Macaca fascicularis: one gene and its partners. Each later gene encodes a partner of the first gene's protein in a complex. Links are inferred from orthologs where the notes say so. Each region holds a gene or a part of one and is shown in the gene's direction. Other genes may lie near its edges.

Evidence for each region. The genes of interacting proteins can lie anywhere in the genome.
Region 2: SMARCE1 (region 1) and SMARCA2 share a complex: the UniProt entries of both Homo sapiens proteins name them as parts of the BAF complex. The link is inferred for Macaca fascicularis from reciprocal best matches to the Homo sapiens genes SMARCE1 and SMARCA2.
Region 3: SMARCE1 (region 1) and SMARCB1 share a complex: the UniProt entries of both Homo sapiens proteins name them as parts of the BAF complex. The link is inferred for Macaca fascicularis from reciprocal best matches to the Homo sapiens genes SMARCE1 and SMARCB1.

The regions. Positions count from the first base shown.
Region 1 is NC_088390.1:61,716,989-61,724,409, reverse strand, and holds part of SMARCE1 (SWI/SNF-related matrix-associated actin-dependent regulator of chromatin subfamily E member 1), read left to right. Parts: intron 1-1,549; coding exon 1,550-1,630; intron 1,631-2,624; coding exon 2,625-2,756; intron 2,757-3,047; coding exon 3,048-3,219; intron 3,220-7,421. UniProt on the Homo sapiens protein: Involved in transcriptional activation and repression of select genes by chromatin remodeling (alteration of DNA-nucleosome topology).
Region 2 is NC_088389.1:97,064,243-97,071,663, reverse strand, and holds part of SMARCA2 (probable global transcription activator SNF2L2), read left to right. Parts: intron 1-222; coding exon 223-386; intron 387-1,703; coding exon 1,704-1,770; intron 1,771-2,434; coding exon 2,435-2,545; intron 2,546-5,170; coding exon 5,171-5,413; intron 5,414-6,829; coding exon 6,830-6,943; intron 6,944-7,421. UniProt on the Homo sapiens protein: ATPase involved in transcriptional activation and repression of select genes by chromatin remodeling (alteration of DNA-nucleosome topology).
Region 3 is NC_088384.1:28,082,649-28,090,069, forward strand, and holds part of SMARCB1 (SWI/SNF-related matrix-associated actin-dependent regulator of chromatin subfamily B member 1), read left to right. Parts: intron 1-2,784; coding exon 2,785-2,922; intron 2,923-5,162; coding exon 5,163-5,290; intron 5,291-7,421.

The DNA.
Region 1 (7,421 bases):
AAACAGTGTCTGTCTACCTGGGCACTAGCATGAGGTGTAGTAAGAATGCATGGAAGGAATGGAAAGAGAGGAAATACTGCTTCCAAGGCGAAATGCTTTCTAATAACTTCATATATGAAGAAATAGAGTTACAGGGATGGAGAGAGACCCTTGTAGGAAGAGGAAACATTTCTTGATCATAGTGGAAAAGGACACAAACATGCTAATCCCTGAGCCCTCAAATGAAAAATAAGGTTATGATTGGGGTCCCAGCCCAGAGTGGAGGAGTATCTCTGGGGTTTTATCATAGCAACAACAGAAGGGGAAGCGAACAAAATGTTACTTTAGTTTTCTTATAGGGATTTGCCAATCCTGTCTTTTGATAATTAGAATAAAGCCAGCACTTCATTTCTCCAGCCTAGCAGGGAGAGTCAGTATTAGAGGAGATCTCCTGAAAATTTGCAAATTGTCTGAAATAGCAATGATTTTTCTTATTCTGGGTCTTTAATCAAATGCAGTCATGTATATTAAGAGGAGACTAAAAAGTTCAGAAATAAATACTTTTAGGTGGGTGTTATCTGGGTGGTCTACCAGAAGCTGTCTGGAATCTCACCTAGACTTTAGACCACAGGAAAAACTGATCACTTTATCTTTCTCTTTCCTTCTTTTTTTATTTTTTCTCTCACCTATTTTTGCTTTACCTTTTTAAAAAATATTTTTCAGTCTTCCCTCCCCCTCCTTTTCTTCTGTCTTTCTTTTCCTGCACATCACATCTTTCCTTTTCCTCTGTCTTTCCCATAAAACCAAACATTTTTAATGGAATGGAACTTCTTGATATAACACCTCAAAAATAACAATCAGGCCCCATATCTGCCACTTCTCTGTTCCGGATAAACTTGTTTGCTTTTACACTGTGATTAGGACTAAGGACACAAAAAGGTGTGACTTTCATTCACACTTCTCCTTCCCCTTTACAAGAAAACCACTAGGTAACAGACAGAACCTTAAGAGAAATAAAATCTCTAGCCTGGCAAAGGAGGTAAAGTGGTTTGTTATTTCACTAATTGTTTTTGAACCTGAGAAGTTGTTTTTGTGGTGATATTGGGAGTACATTCCTGACATAGTGCTAATAGGTTAAGGCCCCTGTAGACAGTGTGAGAATGGTAAGTGTTAAGGGTTCAGATCCTGCTGCAGATAATCAAGTGTTGACTGTATGTGTAATGGTAATTGAGCAGAATGAGAGGGTGCCAGGTAATGTCCTGAATGTGAGACGGTTGATATATAACCATATATTTTCAATGTATGGGTTACTATGTAATATTTTATTTGTTCCTGCAGCCAGGTTGTCAAAGCATTGGCAATAAACTGCTAAGTAAAACATTTAAAAAGTTTGTGCTTAAAGTCATTTTCTTTTGAACATTTCTGAATTTGCAGTGATAGCTATTTTCAGTGGAGAAAATATTTGGACGAGTAGAAGAAAGGCGCATTAGAATTTTTTAAGGGACTCTCTTTTCAGTTTGCCGGTGAACTCCTTACAGCTGAATAATGAATGTATTTAACTCTTTTGTAGGCATCCTCTGGTATTACGATTCCAAAACCCCCAAAGCCACCAGATAAGCCGCTGATGCCCTACATGAGGTACAGCAGAAAGGTAGGCGCTTAGGACCTGGAAAGGAATGAGGACACTGTCTTTGCTGCTTCTTTCTTTGCATCCAATTTTAGATTGGCTTAGCCAGCTTTTCTGTGCATATTCGGAGGAAAGGACCGAAAAAATACAGTTTTTAAGGCAATTAGTTCTGATTTCAGAATTCCAGAACTAAAATCCAACAAGAGGAGCATGATTAAATAAACTGTTAAAATCCTTAAGATAGAATGTTCTGTGGCCATTAAAGTCATGTCTTTTGGAGAATATTTAATGACATGAGGAAAATATTAAGTGAAGGAGGACTACAAAACTACATGAATTAATATCTCATTTTTATAAAAATGATGGCAACCATATGTTAGTTTGAAGGGGGAAAACACAGAAGACAGAAGAAAACACAGAAAACATAGATAACCTTAGAGACAGGTTATCTCTAAGCAGTAAGCTTATGGTAGTTTTTATTTTCTTTTCCTCAAGTTTTCCTTTTTTTTTTTTTTTTTTTGGTGATGAACTTACGTTACTCTTAAAATTAAAAAAATAGCCAATATCTTTATTAAAAGGCAGAGCATTATAACTACTATCTAGAAATTGTAAACCTTTTGATCTTGACTATTACATTGGTTTTTGATAATATGATGTATTGTGTTACGCAAATTAAGCACTTCTAAGTTCACGTGAACTTTTAGTGACATAGACTGTGTTATTGAAGTAATTCATCTTAAGTGTCTGTAGTGATTGGAGATATTCTTGCATATCACATTGAAGTATTTATAAGTGAGTGACATGATGTCTGAGATCTATCTTAAAATAATCCAGTAGGGCAAAGATAACCTGAGGTTGGTCAGTCGTTGATCATTGTTGAAGTAGGCTGATGAGTACATAGAAATTTGATACTGTTGTCTCTGCTTTTTATGTTCAAAAGTTTCCATATTAAAAAGCATTTTTAAAGGTCTATACATTTAGACATCAGTATTAACATTTCATCTGTTTTCTTTTTAAGGTCTGGGACCAAGTAAAGGCTTCCAACCCTGACCTAAAGTTGTGGGAGATTGGCAAGATTATTGGTGGCATGTGGCGAGATCTCACTGATGAAGAAAAACAAGAATATTTAAACGAATACGAAGCAGAAAAGGTAGGATAGGGGCTCACAGTGGGATAGATAATGTGTAAAGTACAAAAACACTGGCTTACTATTTATAAAAGAAACATAAGATTTGGTCAGAAGGCTGATGCTGTACTGAGGCTTTGTCTTCCTGAGTCAAGTCAATTTCTCAAGGCCTCAGATTTCTTGTCCGTAAAAAGGAGATAATTATCCGAACACCCTGTTTACATCATATCTTTTGATATTCAAATGAGATAACATAAGTCTGCATTATAACCTGTAAAATGTTAATTATAAAACCAAAAAACATTTGAATTTCAGATAGAGTACAATGAATCTATGAAGGCCTATCATAATTCCCCCGCGTACCTTGCTTACATAAATGCAAAAAGTCGTGCAGAAGCTGCTTTAGAGGAAGAAAGTCGACAGAGACAGTCTCGCATGGAGAAAGGGGAACCGTACATGAGCATTCAGCCGGCTGAAGATCCAGATGGTAAAAGAAAAAAAGTGGGGTTTTGTTTATGCTTTCTCTGAGAGTTAGGATATGAGTAATCTCTTAGGTGTGTTTTATTTCTTATCCTAAATGGAAAAGAAAGCATAATTTATGTGTCACCTCAGTATTTTGCTTATATTGAGTAAGATTTGTATGTGAATTTCCCACAAGAAAAAGAAATATCCTTTTGAGTGCAGAAAATGGCAAAAATTATTTATTGTTTATCAAAATCTTTGTACTCAAAATGCATGAAAGGTTTTTAAATCACAATCAGGATTTTGCCTCATCTGCTTTTACAAAGCTAAATGCATTCTAGTTATATCCTGTTTTCTTACTGGTTCACTAAATTCGCTGAATTAGAGGCTCTTAAGGGAGAAGCTAATGAGTATGTGGAAACATTATGAAGTTTCCTTTCCATTTAATTCAGAAATCCAATAAGAATGTATAAATATAGCTCATGCTACTACTTTTATGGGTGTACATGAGGGTACACCCATACAAATTTTATACATGCACACGAATAGCAGAGCTTCCTAATTGCCGTTCTGTATGAGTAGTTAGCAGGTGTGCTGATTGTTCTGGTCTTGTGCAGCCAGGCAGGGTCTGAAGCTGCAAGGAGACCCAGAGATAGCCATTTGCAGTGTGAACACACTCAACCACATATTTAATGTGCTATATAAATACTAATAGTTTCTCTGTGTACTGCTATGATGTGCAAAAGGTTAGAAGCTCTAGCTACAAGTGACAAAAACATCAGGAAAATGATTTAAGATCCCATCTTAAAGTTGCAGTAACAAAGAGGAAGGCTATAAGAACTTTAAAGACAGTATCAATGAGGGAGGAAGCAATAATAGCACCTGAAGACAAGAATAAGTTGATAAAAGTGGGGAAAAACAGAAATCATTTTTTAAAATAATGGACTGGAATATTGTCAAATGTTCTCATAAATACAGACAGTGGAATGTAACACTATAGAGAATAGAATATGGAATAGAAACAGTATTGAGTGTTAAACAGAATCAGCAGTGCTAAAGACACACTAGCATCCTCACACTGTAATTACTCAAATGGGATGATTAATGCAAGAGAAACATACAGAAGATGATCCAGGCTACAGATATTGGGAGGATGGGGGTCAGTACAAGAGGAAACAAAGGCTAGCAACGTAAGTAGAAAATAACTAAAGCTTTCATTAACACCATGAACATTCAGAAGGACTGAAGAGATTCACTCAGAAACAGTCTCAAACTTGGGCCTATTATGTTTTTAACTTTAAGGGTGGGTCTTAAAGTTGCTAGTAAGTAAGTTCAGGTAGTAATTAAGATGCCAGTATGAGAATGTCTTTAGCATGCCAGTATGAAAATGATTAGAGGAAGACTTGGGAGGTGGAAATGTATGTCAAATGTACATAAGAGAAAGGTGGCATCTGCATGAAGTACAGCAGCTACTGACTTCTTTAACAGAGGACTATCAAAAGATAGACATGACCAGGCGCCATGGCTCACGCCTGTAATCCCAATACTTTTAACTAAAGCAGGAGGATTGCTTGTGGCCAAGAGTTTGAGACCAGCCTGGGCAACACAGCAAGACTCTATCTCTACAGAATACTTAAAAATTAGCTGGGCATGGTGGCTTGTGCCTGTAGTCCCAGCTGCTCCAACTGAGGCTGAGGTGGGAGGATCAATTGAGCCCAGGAGTTCGAGACTGCAGTGAGCTATGATCATGCCACTGCCCTCCATCCTGGATGACAGAGCAATACCCAGTCTCAAAAAAAAAAAAAAAAGAGGGCATGTGCAATTATCTACACAAGACAATGAAGGCTTTTGTTCAATGAGAGCCTCTTCATGGGATAAATAGCTGTTCAATTAGATCATAATTAGAAAAGCCATTCCCCGAAAAAAGGAAGCAGATGACTTACATGCAAGGAAGAACAAGCCCAAATTCTTAGACCTTATTACCCCATCTGTGGTCAACACTGGGGCCATATAAATGAAAGAAGAAAATAAAAAATAACAAAAACAGATAACTTAGACAGACGTAGCACAGATATACCACATATAACCCTAAAGGTGAAAAACTCTTAAAAAGTAGAAAGATTACAGAGTTTTTAAAAAACTGTATCTTACCTAATAGTTTTAATTTCAGAAGTTTATTTCCTAAAGGAATTACTCAAAAGGAAAGAAAAGTAATTTTTTTAACTTTTTACAAAAACAACAGTTTTTAGCTATAGTATTTATGATAATGAGAATTTTAGGAACTGCTTAAGTGCAAGACAATAAGAGAGGTGCTAAACTGACATAGGAGCACCACAAAGGCCTCTAACAGGGTTCCCTCTAACAGGCTTTCCTCTGTAACAGGCTTCCCTCTGTAACAGGGTTTCCTCTGTAACAGGGTTCCCTCTGTAACGGGGTTTCCTCTGTAACAGGGTGTCCTCTGTAACAGGCTTCCCTCTGTAACGGGCTTCCCTCTGTAACGGGCTTCCCTCTGTGACGGGCTTCCCTCTGTGACGGGCTTCCCTCTGTGACGGGCTTCCCTCTGTGACAGGGTGTCCTCTGTAACAGGCTTCCCTCTGTGACAGGGTGTCCTCTGTAACAGGGTGTCCTCTGTAACAGGCTTCCTTCTGTAACGGGCTTCCCTCTGTAACGGGGTTTCCTCTGTGACGGGCTTCCCTCTGTGACGGGCTTCCCTCTGTGACAGGCTTCCCTCTGTAACAGGGTGTCCTCTGTAACAGGCTTCCCTCTGTAACAGGCTTCCCTCTGTAATGGGGTTTCCTCTGTGACGGGCTTCCCTCTGTGACGGGCTTCCCTCTGTGACGGGCTTCCCTCTGTGACGGGCTTCCCTCTGTGACAGGGTGTCCTCTGTAACAGGCTTCCCTCTGTGACAGGGTGTCCTCTGTAACAGGGTGTCCTCTGTAACAGGCTTCCTTCTGTAACGGGCTTCCCTCTGTAACGGGGTTTCCTCTGTGACGGGCTTCCCTCTGTGACGGGCTTCCCTCTGTGACAGGCTTCCCTCTGTAACAGGGTGTCCTCTGTAACAGGCTTCCCTCTGTAACAGGCTTCCCTCTGTAATGGGGTTTCCTCTGTGACGGGCTTCCCTCTGTGACGGGCTTCCCTCTGTGACGGGCTTCCCTCTGTGACAGGGTTCCCTCTGTGAAAGGGTTCCCTCTGTGACAGGCTTCCCTCTGTGACAGGGTTCCCTCTGTGACAGGGTTCCCTCTGTGACAGGCTTTCCTCTGTGACAGGGTTCCCTCTGTGACAGGGTTCCCTCTGTAACGGGCTTTCTCCTCTGTAACGGGCTTTCTCCTCTGTAACGGGGTTTCCTCTGTAATGGGGTTTCCTCTGTAACAGGGTTTCCTCTGTAACAAGGTTTGCTCAAGTATGGTTCCTCCCTGTCTGGTGGGACACTGAGGTGATTAAGTGGGTCAAAAAGGAGCATTTGTTTTGTATGTATTGCTACAGAGAAAGCTTTTTTTTTTTTTAATGAGTTAGTTTAAAGAAAAATATTAAGTAAACAATAGTACAGGCTGTTAGTAGATATATGAAAAACTATGAAGGCGATAGAGCAAAGACTGAGATTAAGGAAACACTAGATACCTATTAAAAATAAGCATATAGGGTGTGCGCAGTGGCTCACACCTGTAATCCCAGCACTTTGGGAGGCCAGGATGGGCGTATCATGTGAGGTCAGGAGTTCAAGACCGCCCTGGCCAACATGGTGAAATCCTATCTCTACTAAAAATACAGAAATTGGCTGGGCATGGTGTCATGTGCCTGTAATTCCAGCCACTTGGGAGGCTGAGGCACAAGAATCGGTTGAACCCGGGAGGTGGAGGTTGCAGTGAGCCGAGATTGGGCCACTGCACTCCAGCCTGGGTAACGGAGTGAGATTCTGTCTCAAAACAAAACAAAACAGAAGCATATAAACCAGACCCGTACAGCTGGCTAAGTGTAAACTGACAAAAATTAAATTTGGAATCAAAACATTTATTTTTCTTCTATAAAATTCCTTGAGGGCCTGGGAAACTGAATATTGTTAGAGATGATGTTTCCTCTGCTGTGATAATTTTACGAATTGGCATTTTCATAAAGTCACTGCCCAGTTCATATGTTGTTCGTTAGTTGTTAAATGCCTTAAGTCACTACCAAGAAAGTGAAACATTGGGCAGAATTTCAATTACTGCCATCACATGCAGCCTTCACATT
Region 2 (7,421 bases), on another chromosome or scaffold:
ATTTCTAAATCTGATTAACACTCAGCACCTGCCAAGCAGCGGGAATGATTACAGGCTCATATTTTACATTCTTTTTGCATTGGTGCTTCCCCCATTTTCCTACTGTGGGAGACCCAACATATAGCACTGAGGAGTTAAGAAGTCACAGCCTCGCTTGAGTTGTATTAGTATTAATTACCTGTGCAGATCTTGGATAATTGAAGCAATTACTCTTCATTTCAGCTCCAGGGCCTGGAATGGATGGTTTCCCTGTATAATAACAATTTGAACGGAATCTTAGCTGATGAAATGGGGCTAGGAAAGACCATACAGACCATTGCACTCATCACTTATCTGATGGAGCACAAAAGACTCAATGGCCCCTATCTCATCATTGTTCCCCTTTCGTAAGTAAAGTCATTTATTCCACAGTCATCGTTCTGTATGTTGATTAGTAGCTTATCCTTGTTTTTTACTTAAGACAGAATTGTAGCATGTAGTCACCTAAATCCAGATTACCAAGAGCATGTAATCTGGATTTAGGTTTTAATTTCCCACCCCTCCCCATCCTAGCCTGTTTGATTGGCCTTTTAAGCAGGGGACCAAGTGATTTTATCAGCCATTAGCATTACAGGTCTATACAGCCTGAACACTGCATAGGGAGTCTTGCTCATCATTATTCCTTAAGTGGCTCACAAAGGGGAAAGTTTGTGTGTGTGTGTGGGGGTGTGTGAGGTTTCTTTGATTTTTTCCTTATTCCATTTCCAAAAGATTATATATTCTTAAATCTTCCTTTTAAAGCGGAATATAAATCAAAAGCACAACTATGAATTTTGCATTAAAATAACCTTAGTATGTGCACTGAGGTTATGTTTCAATGAGTTTGCTGCTTAGTAAGGACAGGCCTTTGCTGTTCACCATTATGTTCCCAGTGCCTCACCCACTGGGTATTTCTTAGAAGGTCCTAAGTGGACACTACTGAGTGAGGGCATAATGATTCACACGCACCCTCCCTGGGAGTTCAGTGTGTCTGCCTGTGGGTGTTAGGTTGCAGCTTTATTCACCGAGCTCTTGTTATAGATCTCAATGCTGATAGGAACTTGGACCTTCAGTAAGAAGAAGGATTCTATTAATATTATTGTGTTTTCTTTGAATTTTTTCTAATGAAGACTATTTGCAGTCCTTTTTGTATGAATTATCTGTATCTATAATATTTAGGCATCTTTTGCATTTAATCTATATTTTGCACGTTCTGAATCATATATACAGTGACACTTTCAGGACTTTAAAAAAAAAGTCATTCAATATTTCTTCCCCGTTCCCTCTTGACAGATTTATTTTATGTTTTCATGTGGTTTTGTAATTTCTTTTTCCTGACTCAACTTTTTTCTGAACTTATATGACTGTTTATGAAGACTCCTAAAATTATTCTGGCAATTGCTCTTTTTAAATATCATATTACAGTTTAGTTTTTTGCTCTCTATATATTCTCTGGTTTTTTTCTTACAAGATTTTTTTTATGAACCACAAACTTGTCATGTTTTGTGACAGTTTATTTTGAACTTATCTCTTATTTCCACACCTTTAAAATATGTTGTTGAGATATGTTATATTCTGTAGCCCCTTTCAAGGTGAGGCCTGAAAATGAATAAGAACATCTTTTTAACCATTGATTTTTATACAAATGTCTTTTTTCTGTGTATTTTTTTTTTGTTGTTCCATAGGACTCTATCTAACTGGACATATGAATTTGACAAATGGGCTCCTTCTGTGGTGAAAATTTCTTACAAGGTTTGGAATGCTGTATTTATATATAAATGTGGAAAAGCAAAAAATAGACCGTATTTTCTTCATTCCATATGCACATCTGTGAACTGTATTTGGTTGTAAAGTTTTGTCATGTACATCATGTACTAAACCGTGAGAGTTAATCATCCCAAGAAGATTACTGTAATAAACCATAATTACTTTCAGATAGTGAAATCCAGAAGAAAATTGTTAATTATCATATTGCAAGGTTTCTGATGAGAGTAATACAAATGACAAATATCACACATTCTGCGTGCTGCTGACTGGCTCGCTGTGGGCTGCTACTGTGCCGACTGTTCCTGCAAAGTCAGGCAGTTACCCGGGTGCCCGGGCTGCCTGCTGTACTTTCTCAAAAGAACTGGAGCCTTTCAGCAGAGCAGTGGGTTCTCTACTACCACAAAGTCACTGTCATTTCTCTTTGCCCTCCCACTGTCTTTGGTGGGAAAACCTTTCTAAAAAAGATCTGAAAAGGGTCAAGACGTGTAATTTAGCCAAAACTTCCTCATGTATAATAGATCAGTCTATGAGAATGTGTGTCTGTGCATTCTTCAGTCACATGTCTGGGCATCATTAAGCTATGAATAGTGAGAAATAACACACATATATGTCCATAGGATCATGCATATACTGTTTTCTTTCCATTCAGGGTACTCCTGCCATGCGTCGCTCCCTTGTCCCCCAGCTACGGAGTGGCAAATTCAATGTCCTCTTGACTACTTATGAGTATATTATAAAAGACAAGCACATTCTTGCAAAGGTATGTTTCTAAAAAATTATTTTCTCTCTAATTATGGACCATCGCACTGGAATGTGAAGTATTGCCCAAATCAATAGTATAATTAGATCCTTAGATGGCTTGTCCCTTTCTTTATTTTTTAAAAATTTTGTCAGAGTTTGATGTATTTAGGTCATGGATTTGATTTCATGCATGCTATTTGTGTGTGTGTGTGTGTGTGTGTGTGTGTGTGTGTGTGTGTGTGTATGGTTGATCCTGGAATGGCTCTTGACTGTCCTCTCAGAGTTGATGAGTTTACATCTCTTAGAAAAATTCACCTGGTTGCTTCTGCAACTCTTTTCTCTCCAACAGCTTTGAACATTCTCGGGAGAGAAATAATTGTTTTTGTTGCCCTGAGATATTGTCAGTGTAACTTCATTCCTCTTGTGCCTTTGTTTCTCCAAAGATGAGCCAGACACCTCTGCATATGGTCTCCGCCATATGAACGTTTATCCAAGCATTGGCTTTTGTGGTAGTCTTGTTTCAGGTTTTTCCTGGTGAAATAATAGACTATCATTGTTGGATTACTCAAGGCTGTTTCTGTGACTATTTATTTGAAACTGAGAAAGAGGTGTTTCTGTGACTTACGTGTCTCCTAATTTGTGTGTCCTAAGTTGTTCCTCAGCCACAAAGTAGAAGTTTTTACCCCCATTTATATCATCTTGTCTTCTAGTACATTCATGTAGAAAGATGGAAGTACTCTCTCTCATGGAACAAATAATGAAAACTCATTTTTTTTCTCTTTAGTAATTTTTTTTTTTACCCCATGATGTTTTGAAAGCACTATAATCTGAAACTAAGTTATGTCCAAAATTGAATAGAACCTCTATTTCTGGGGTCTATTCTATCTCTGCATTAAACTCTTGCTCTGGGAACTGAGAGTTCCCTTCATGGCATCATAGGAAATAACAAAAAGGAAATGTGTTCCCAGGGGAGGTTTAATAATTGAGATGGCACTGGCAACAATGTTGTGTTCCACCTCCTCACACTCAGAGATGAATTTGGCAGTGTCAAAAATGATGTGTTTTCAATATTACTATGGGAATGTATTTGTACATTTGAGATCCTTTTAAAAAAATTCATATTGTGTCATCTGCATATGTATTTCAAGATTCATTGGAGATGCCTGGTAATGAGATGCATTGCTTTTATTTGTTACTGGAGAAATGGAGCTATAGAAAGGGGTAGTAATTTTGTCCAAGTGGAAGACCTAATTAGTAGTAGACCCAATAGCAAAATCAAAGGCCTCTGATTCTTTATTACTTCATAAGCTAAATTAGGCAAGAAAGTAGATTTAGGATATTTATTTAAATATATTTTTGTCTGCTTACCTCTTTTCATGCTATTGGTAAGTTTGAGGCAGTTGATTGTACAGTTTTAATTATCCTTTAAGCACTTTCCTTAGAGGTGGTGGAGGAAGGAAGAAAAATTGAGGTAGGTTTTTTGTTTGTTTGTTTGTTTACCTATACATCCCAGCCTGACTGATAATTTTATTCCTTTTCCCCCGGCATGTCTGATGCTTCTAATGAGGAAGGCAAGGACTGTATAGAATACTTCCCTCATCTCCCTTCTGTCTCTAGGAGCTTTGCAGCAGGATCTGGGGACATCTGAGCACCAGATGTTTTTCTTGGCCATAGCCACTGTTTTGTAGAGAATGGATAGGCTTAGTGGAACATTCCTCATTGTTCTCACTTTAAGAAACTGAACAGTGCTCTTAAGAGGACCGAAGGGCAAGGCATGAGAGAGGAAAGGGACTGTGTAGACAGGATGGAGGACTGGGCCATTTAAGCATTCTGGACGTTTTACGCAATAGTCATGTTGGGGAAGTATGCTGTATTTAATTCTGCAGTTTTGGCATAAATAGAGGAATGATATTTTTGCACTGCCCTTTCTGCCAGTGAGTATATACTTTTATTTTAGATAAAACAGGGGTCCTAGATCTGGCAGGTAAGGAATGTGCGTGTATTGAGGTCAGACCTAATTTTTGAAGAGCTGTATGTACAAATTTAATGTGAAATGGTCCAACTTTTAAATGTTAGCAACCAGTCCAAACAAAACAAAACACACTTCCCAGCCAAGCCCTAAAGGTAGTAACCAGCCAGGCTAATAGAAAAGAAGGTATGGAGCCAGGAATATCTCCGCTGTAGAACCTGCTAGGGCCATCTTGGAAAAATCAGTCATTAACCTCTGCTTCAGGTGGGTACCTATATTCTGCACCTGTCATGAGCCGAAATAGCATGACAATGAAATCTGGGATAGCTGTCATGATACAGTATTACTAGAAGGGGCACTGGATGGGGAGATACAGGATCCACATGTAGGAACAACCATGTCATTCTGGACCCAACTTTCTTTCTTTGTAAAAAGTTGATTTGGAATTACGAGGTCTGTAAGGAACATTGTTGCTTTAACATTCTATTATTACAGGATGTCTTATGCGGCCTATCAGGCATGAGACATTGTTGAGATTCTCTTGTCTCAAAGGTAATCACAGCATATCATATACCAAGGATGGGTTCTTTGGTTTTCCGCACCACTACTTGCTTGTTGGAAATAGTTGTATTTTCCCTTGCTTACTACATGTCCATCCTTCCTCTTATGTTATAGATTCGGTGGAAATACATGATAGTGGATGAAGGCCACCGAATGAAGAATCACCACTGCAAGCTGACTCAGGTCTTGAACACTCACTATGTGGCCCCCAGAAGGATCCTCTTGACTGGGACCCCGCTGCAGAATAAGCTCCCTGAACTCTGGGCCCTCCTCAACTTCCTCCTCCCCACAATTTTTAAGAGCTGCAGCACATTTGAACAATGGTTCAATGCTCCATTTGCCATGACTGGTGAAAGGGTACTGGTCTGACTTTTGTTTTTTCTACTGCATGACAATGACATGAAATGAAAGGCCCTAAAGCTGGGAACATTACTGCCACAGAACACCCGCAGGGTGGTTTACAATGTTGTTTATTTTATGAAACCCATTGGTGGGTGGACATGGTCTCGTGGTGGGGTTATTTTCCCCTCCTAGGAAAATGGATCTAGTGGTATACGGGGCATCTAATCCCTTTGTCTTTTGCCAGCATGTTTACCAGGCTACCAGAAAAGGGTCCTTACTGGTGGAACCAGTGGGCCACAGGGAGGATGAACATGGAGATATTTTGCTGAATTAATTTAACCAGACCAAATTAACAACTAAATACAAGCTTTAAACAAATCTTTCCTTGTTATAAACTTGGAGTTCCCTTTGAAATATTTCCACATGAAGAGTTTGTGTGTAAAACAGAACTAGTTTTCACTAATTTTCTGCACACTTTTTTTTTTTTTCTTTTTAGGTTTTAATGTGAGTTTCAGTTTTGTGTGTACATAAATTGTCTTCCTGGAGTAGCCATTTATTTTCCAGTTTCTTACTGTTCCTTCCACTGTCTTCTCTTAAGACCTCATTTATGAAAGGAAGACAATGAGCCGTTGCAAGAAAAGAACTGGGCCCATGTCATTTTCATAGTGGTTCCTCATTCATAGGAATGAAAAGCCACTAAAAATGCTTTAGTAAAATTTCAGTTTGAATTATTTCGTCCTTTGATTTTGAGGCACATGGGCCCCTCCTCAGTGGTTAACTCACTGGCTTGCCCATTTGTAGAAAGTAGTGTCAATCAACTCTGCCCCCTAGAGGTTAATAGGAGAAGGTGAAAGAGAAAGCCGGGAAATTTGTAAGTTTGGCTAAATTTGAACTAGATAGGGCTGAGAAAAGGAAAGGGGTGAAGTTAGAGGGACTTAGAGGTCCACCAGCATAAACTAGATCAACTCTTGTTCCTCTTCTTTATATGTGCAAGCCCCTGTTCCTTTAGTATGTTTCTGTGTCTGAGACAACCAAGACGAAGGGCCTAACTTAAGGCTGCCACTTTAAATAGGGAACATATTAACTATTGCCCCTCTTCTCCCGTTCTATCTCAATCTTCAGTCCGTCTTCATTGACAGTCATATTCCATACAATTTGGGGCTGTTGACACTACTGATAAAAACTGGTGGCTTCTGGACTCTTTTCCATAGAACTCAGCATTAAGACAAAGATCTATTTAGAGGTCATTTTGTTACCGCTTGGTAGGCAGGTGGGAAGATAATTCAGAGGTAGATATGATAGGCTTAAACCTGGCTTTAATGCATGTAAAATGTTAATCATGTATTGAACCATATAAGTGTAACATAAAGCTTTATTGTATGAAACATCCTTTTCTTTAAAACATCAAATTCATATAAGCCTCTCTTACAGGTGGATTTAAATGAAGAAGAAACTATATTGATCATCAGACGTCTACATAAGGTGTTAAGACCATTTTTACTAAGGAGACTGAAGAAAGAAGTTGAATCCCAGCTTCCAGAAAAAGTATGTCGCACAGTCCAAAGTTGTGGGGTTTTTTTTCCTCCAGCAAATATATTTGAAGTACCTGCCTCTGAGATTGTGTTTCTGAAACAGCAGACTCATATTGTAGTTATAAGTATCTTGAAAATATCTTAAAGTGCTTTTTTGTTTGGTAGGGCTAGAGAGAGAAGGGAAATTATAGCATTTGCAGCCTGTTTTCTAAAAGCGTTCGAGCGGATTTTATAAAATTATCAAATTCATTGAGTCTCATTTACATTTTAATTTTAGAATTTTTTTTTTTAAGTGGCCTCATTGAGTTCACTGTTGCAGGCACTGTAGAATTGTTCTGCTTATAAGTGAATGGAATATTTGACTTTGGGGACTTGTGTCATCATTGAAGGGGATGGGAAACATTAGCAGGTTTTCTAGAAATGTATTTAGTATTTGATGTTTGTGATGTCACCATTCTGACAGTAAGTGAAAAAACAAGAGTTTCTGCAAA
Region 3 (7,421 bases), on another chromosome or scaffold:
ATAAAATAACTTAGATTTGCAGATTCTGTGTATGGCTGAGCATGTTAGTCACATTCACTGTGTCTGGTGACACTTGCATTATCCACTTGGGTTGGTAGCTAGACCTGGAAATGAGAACTTGCTACTGAGATAGGGCAGGATGAGGGGGCAGGGGCTCAGCCCAGGCTCTAACATATCCATTCAGAAAGGAGGAGGTGGTCAAGAGCTGTGGTTTCCAAATACAGGCTCAGCTGCCTGGGAATCATCCATGGAAGCTGCAAAGAACCCATCTTCTTGGGCCCTTCCTCAGAGGTGGGAAGTCACTTCACCTGGGTGGGGCTCAGGAATGTGCTACTTAAAATTTTGCATTCTGGGGTCGGATGTGGTGGCTGACACCTGTACTCTCGGCACTTTGGGAGGCCAAGGTGGGAGGATTGCTTGAGCCCAGGAGTTTGAGACCAGACTGGGCAACATAGTGAGACCCCCATCTCTATTAAAAAAAATAAAATAAAATTGCACTCTGAGTCCGAGCGGCCAGGATTAGGAACCATGACCCAGATAGGCTGTAGAGGGGACCCCTGTCTTGCTGTCCCCTCTCTTAGTCCCTGCCCAAGCGGATTTCATGTTCCCCAAAATGGGTACTACAAAATCCTCCCTACCCCTACCAGCGATCAAGGGGTAGTCCTAGTCTCAGCATCAGACGTGTAAGTGACTCCCGCTTTAGAAGGGAAAGGAGTTAAAGGGCCCAGAGTCCAGGCAGGTCTTGGATATTGCTTCTGTCTCCCCACCCTCTGGAAAGGAGAAGGACCTTTGTGCTGTCTTCCCGGGTCCCTCCTTAGAGGGCACTGTCAAATGTTTGTCGGCCGGGCGCAGCGGCTTATGCCTGTAATCCCAGCACTTTGGGAGACCAAGGCGGGCGGATCACGAGGTCAGGAGATCGAGACCATCCTGGCTAACATGGTGAAACCCCATCTCTACTAAAAATACAAAAAAATTAGCCGGGCAAGGTGGCAGGCGCCTGTAGTCCCAGCTACTCAGGAGGCTGAGGCAGGAGAATGGCGTGAACCCGAGAGGCAGACCTTGCAGTGAGCCGAGATGGCGCCACTGCGCTCCAGCCTGGGTGACAGAGCGCGACTCCGTCTCAAAAAAAAAAAGAAAAAAGAAAGAAACCTTTGTCATGACTTGCTCTGAACTGTTGAATAGTTATTGCGGAAGTGGTTGCGCAGGTGTTGGGGTTACACAGGGAAGTGATGCAGTCACTGCCTGCTCCTGCTCACAGCCTTGCCAGGGAAAATGGGAACGCACAGAGTACAGCAGGCACCCAAATGCTCTCATCTGTCTCACCCAGCCCTGGAGCCTTTGCCTTTGTTTAAAATAGCTTTTGGTGTGTGTGTATGTGTGTGTGTGTATATATATATATATATATATATTTTTTTTTTTTTTTTTTTAATTAAAGATAGGGTGTTGCCATCTCACCCAGGCTGGAGTGCAGTGGCTGATCTCGGCTCACTGCAACCTCCGCCTCCTGGGTTCAAGTGATTCTTATGCTTCAGCCTCCTGAGTAGCTGAATTATAGACGTGTGCCACCACATGCCTGGCTAATTTTTGTATTTTGGGTAGGGTTGAGGTTTCACCACGTTGGCCAGGCTGGTTTTGAACTCACCTTTTTTTTTTTTTTGAGACAGAGTTTCGCTCTTGTTGCCCAGGCTGGACTGCAGTGGCGTGATCTCGGCTCACTGCAACTTCTGCCTCCCAGGTTCAAGCGATTCTCCTGCCTCAGCCTCCTGAGTAGCTGAGATTACAGGTGCCTGCTACCACACCTGGCTAATTTTAGTAATTTTAGTATAGACAGGGTTTCACCATTTTGGCCAGGCTGGTCTCGATCTCCTGACCTCAGGTGATCCACCCGCCTTGGCCTCCCAAAGTGCTGGGATTACAGGTATGAGCCACCGCGCCTGGCCTGGTTTCGAACTCTTGACCTCAGGTGGAGTGCCCACCTTGACCTCCCAAAGTGCCAGAGTTACAGGCATGAGCTGCTGCGCCTGGCGCTTTTGGTAAAAGTAACCTGGAATTTGGGAGAGAAGATCAAACTCTTCACGGGACATGGGTTATTTAAATTACTTTGGATGTCACCTCTGGAAGGTGTTTATCAACCCATCTTCTGACTTCTACTGCTCTGGAAGCTCGGAGGCCAGAGGCCTTGCCTAGTCCATCTCAGGATGGCTAGTATGTCTAAAATGACAGTCTGATCACGTCTCTTCCTTCAAAACACTGGGGACTCCCAGCCATCTGCTGAGTAAAGTCATCTTCTCACGGAGCATGTGAGACCTGTGATCAGTCCCCTCCCTGGGGGCCCCCTCCCTGGACTGCCCCTCAGTCTCTCCTCCCTGCTGCTGCCTGTGCCCCTCCCCACAGTGAACCCTGACTTGGTGTCTAAGGCTCTGCTCTATTGTCCACCCCTTGTACAAGCCTCCCCCTTGTACCACTTCCCGCATCTCCAGGAAGTGCTTCTGTGGAGCCATGCCTGGCTCATAGTGCAGTACACCATGGCCATGGGTTAGCAACTGACCTGCGTGCTGGGCTGTGTCTGGTGCCCCTCCATACCCTTGCCCTTGCTCAGGTGCCTCTAGCATCTGATGACAGCCTGGGGAGCAGGCTTCTGCAAAATCAGGTGCACAGACAACTCCCACGGGAGCCTCGAGCCTGACAGAGGTACAGTGGGCATCCCCTGAGCATGAGTTGATTCCTGGTGGGCAGGATCAGGCTCCTAGACTGACTGGGGGGACTTTTCTTGTATCTCCCCAGGGAACAGAAGGCCAAGAGGAACAGCCAGTGGGTACCCACCCTGCCCAACAGCTCCCACCACCTGGATGCCGTGCCATGCTCCACGACCATCAACAGGAACCGCATGGGCCGGGACAAGAAGAGAACCTTCCCCCTTTGGTGCGGATGTGTCGCTGTGCTCACCCTCTGCCCTGATTCTCCCTTAGTTCTCCAGCACATTTCAGTCCCCTCCTCCCCAGAAAAACACTGCTTTGACCTTGTGCTCCCCACAATGCTACAGTACCTCCTCCTCTTTGAACCACTGTGTTTCCCTGACCTCCAGGACATTGTCTGTAGCCTCTTTGGCTCTGTCTGCTGTCACCTTGCCGTGTCCTCCTCACCTCTCTGGCCCCTCAAGTGGAGTTACTCGGGGCACGGTCCATGTGCCCTTTCTCTGCCCTCAGTTTCACACGAGTGGGTCATAGCCAGTCTGACGGTTCACGTGCCATCCACGTGACTCCCACTGCGCCACCACTTCCCAGAGGCTGCTGGAATAAACCACCACAAACTGGTGGCTGCCAGCAGTGCACAGTTCTTCCCTCACAGTTCGGGGGCCCAGGAGCCCAGATTTGGTTTCACTGGACCAGATGCATGTGTAGACAGGGCTGTGCTCCCTCCAGAGGCCCTCGGGGCGATTCGGTCCTTGCTGCTTCCGGCTTTGGGGGCTGCCACATTCCTGGGCTTGTGGCTGCCTCACTTCAGTCTCGGCCTCTGTGGTCATGTGGCCTTCTCTGCGTGAAATCTCCCTGTCTGTCTCTTAGAAGGACACTTGGTGATGTAATTTAGGGCCCTTCTGGTTAACCTCTCAGGATCTTTCACTTAATCGCATCTGCAAAGTCTCCTTTTTTGGCCATATGAGGTGACAGTTATAGGTTTTGGGGATTAGGCTGTAGATGTCTTCGGGGTCTGTTTTTTACCTCTGCAGCCCAGACTTCCTCAGCTGCCCTCACCCCCTCAGCCTCATGCTGCCTGAAGACTTCTCCATCTCGGCGCATGGAGATCCAGCCGTCTCCTTGCTCAGGCTGTAGCTTTCTTTCCCAAGGCCTGCCTTTTCCTCACACAGCAAGTCCAGTCTCTCCAAGGTCCCACCCAGGACTGCCTTGGCCAGCCCCGCACTGCTCTCCCTGGGGTCTCTAGCAGCCCCTGCCTCCCCTCCCTGTTGCCTTCTCAGCTCTGCAGCTGGTGTGTCCTCTGCTCCAGGCATATCGTGTCACCTCTCCACGCAAAATCCTCCAGGCTCCCCATCACCCTCGGAGCAGAAGGAGGAGTTCTCACTGGGGTGCCAGGCCCAACCTGGCCTGGTGCTGCCACTGCCACACTCTGCCCCACTCACTCTGCCTCAGACCTGAGATCGCCCTCACTGCTGTCAGACCTCCCAGAGCTTCTGCCCAGCAGTTGCCTCTGCTAAGGTTTAGCCCGTTCTCCTTCCTCCCCTCTTTCCTTTCTTCTTTCTTTCCTTCCTTCTTTCTTTCCTTCCATCATTTCTCCTTCCCTCCTTCCCATCCTTCCCCCTCCTCCTTTTCCTTCTCTCTTCCTTCCCTCCATCTCCTCTTCCCATCCCTAGTTGACTGTCCCCTTCTCCCTTAGAGTGGCCACCCCTTTCCTCCAGCACCCCTACCCCTTTCCCTGTCTGTTTCCCAGCGCATTCATGCCTGGCACTCAGCTCGTTTCTCTCTCTCTTCCATCTGCCTCCCAAGATCGCTGGGGCCCTTCTCAGCCCTCTCCATGCTCCCAGACGCCCTTAGGTGTCCTCTGTCCTCCAGCTCCATCTCACCAACCTGCCTGCCCAACTCTTCCCTCTTTATCTTCCCAAAATACTCAACTCCATTGCTTGGAATCCTCCTGGGACTCCCTCAGGGCAGTGGCCAGTTTGCGTAGCCTGAGAGGAGAACTGTGGGTGCTTCGACACCCGCTAGCTTTGCAGCATCCCTGACCACTGCCCCCCATGGAATCTGTGCTCTGTGGTCTGTTTGTGCGTCCTCAGCAGTTCCTCCATTCACCTGCTTTGGCCTTACTGGAATATATCCTCTTCTAGAAATGCTATTCTGCTTGCCTACAGCCTTCTGTGAAAGTCCTGCCAAATTTCAGGCTTAAATATCCCTTCACAGGACATCTGGGTTTTGTTCCAGCACTGCCCGGGTCGATCCTATTGCAGACAGACTGGTGCTTGTCATTTATGGACCCACCTGTCCCCATTAGACCATGGCCCTGGGACCCCTGCTGCCTCAGCTGTTAGCTGATAAGTGACCATGTTCCCCAGATGGGTTTGCAGAGGCCTGCTGTGCAGAGAGGGAGGCTGAAAATTTGCATGCCTAGGGCCCTGGCACCCTCACTGACTGTTGCTTCCATTTCACTTTCAGCTTTGATGACCACGACCCAGCTGTGATCCACGAGAATGCATCTCAGCCTGAGGTGCTGGTCCCCATCCGGCTGGACATGGAGATCGATGGGCAGAAACTGCGAGACGCCTTCACCTGGAACATGAATGGTACAAGGCAGTCGGGCTTGGCTGGGCCTGGCCCCAGCCCCTGTGTGTTACGTGGGAACAGTCCCCTTTCCTACCAGCTGCCTGTCAGGCAGATTCTGGACCTGACATGCGGGACATCGGGGCATAGTTTTGGAGGGTGTGGGCTCTGGGTTCAGCCCTGGTTCTGTTGCTGTTCACTGTGGGTTGGGCATGTGAACTTTGGACTCCTTTCCCCATACTGAGGTTGGGGGGCCCAAGGGGCCTGGCATGGGAGGTGGCTGGTGTGCATAGCATGGATGATGATGACAATGCCACTTAGACCTAGTTCAGCCCCCGAGCCCTGCACACACCTGCCTTGGGTCCTGTCCACCACCCTGTTTCTGCTGTGTGAGGCTGCATGTGTGCCCTGTGCCTCTCTCCTCCCCTAACTGGTCATCTCTTTAGATATCCTCACTCTGTAAGTCCTGGGTCAGGTGCCATCTCTTCTGGCTCTTCCTGGGCTTCCAAAGCCTGAACAGAACTCAGTCTTTGTGCAGATGTAGACAGAAAGGTTAGAAGGGTATGCATCCCAAGTGTCTAGACTGCTTATCCCATCTGGGAGGGAGGATCATGCATGCATTTATTTTGCTATTTTTTTCTAAGTCTGTTAGAATGTATTTTTGTTATTTTATTTTATTATTACTGTTTTTTTAGATCTTGTTGAATACCAGGTTTTTTTGTTTTTTGTTTTTTAACTTAGTGTCTGTATCCTGCTGAATTTTTATAATGAACATACTCTTTATATTAAGACAAAATGCAGTGAATATCATCTTTATTTTATTTTACCTATTTTATTTTGTTTTTTTTTAAGAGACAGAGTCTCACTCTGTTGCCCAGGCTGGAGTGCAGTGATACTTTCATATCTCGCTGTAATCTTGAACTGCTGGGCTCAAGCATTCCTCCTGCCACAGCCTGCCAAATAGCTAGGAATACAGGCATATTCCACTGTGCCGAGCGTTATTTTTAAATGGGTGAATGTTTAAAATCATCAGAATCTCACCACCCGAATAATATTTTCAGTTTTACCTTTTCTCTCTGTCAATTCCACATGCAAACATATTTAACACAGTTGTCACTATAGAGCAAGTCTTGTTTTATTTTTCTTCACTTGTCCTAAGTATCTTTCTGGTTTCTCTTTTTTTGTGGGGGGAGATGGAGTCTCACTCTGTCGCCCAGGCTGGAGTGCAGTGGCACGATCTCAGCTCACTGCAACCTCTACCTCCTAAGTTCAAGCGATTCTCCTGCCTCAGCCTCCTGAGTAGCTGGAACTACAGGCACCCGCCACCATGCCTGGCTAATTTTTGTATTTTTAGTAGAGATGGCGTTTCACCATGTTAGCCAGGCTGGTCTTGAACTGACCTGAGGTGATCCGCCTGCCATGGCCTCCCACACTGCTGGGATTACAGGCGTCAGCCACTGTACCCAGCCTCTTTCTGATTTCTTTAATCTTCAAACAGTGCAGCATTTTCTACTGGGTCGAGGTACCTTTGTTTGCTAAAACACCCTCTGCTGTAGACGTCTGCACGGCAGATAACATAGTTGCAACATTTTTCTCTCCGAAGGGATTTCCTAAGGGAGGAGAGTATGAGTGGTTGTGGCTGCCTTGAGCTTTCTGGAAGGATTAGGCTGCTTCCTTTGGTCATCCCCAGGCACTCGGCATGCTAGGCCTGAGTGCTAGGACTACCACTTGCTCACACTAGTGCCAGGCCTGAGTCCAAAGGCTTCTGCTTAGCCCTGAGAAGAATGCCTGAGAGCCATCTGCCGGGTGCCTGTCCCCTAGGTCCCACAGGTTAGCTGGTGAGCGGGGACGCCAGGGAGAGGAGACATGGGTGAGGGAGGACACTGGCAAGAGACTCCAGGAGGTTGTATTGAGTGTAGATGGGGACAGGTACAGTTCACTGGTCATGCCCCAGAACAGGGACAGGACAGCCCATGGGCACCAGGCCACCAGCGCTGCACAATGCCTTGGCAGTGTTATCTCTGCCAAGCTGCCTGCTTATCTCTGCTGGCCCGCATCAGAGTTATTTGTTAATTCTTGTCTCTCCCTCTCCATTTCAACCCTTTAAGGTCAGGGGCCTTGTTTTTCATTGCCGTTTTCTTTTGAGATGGAGTT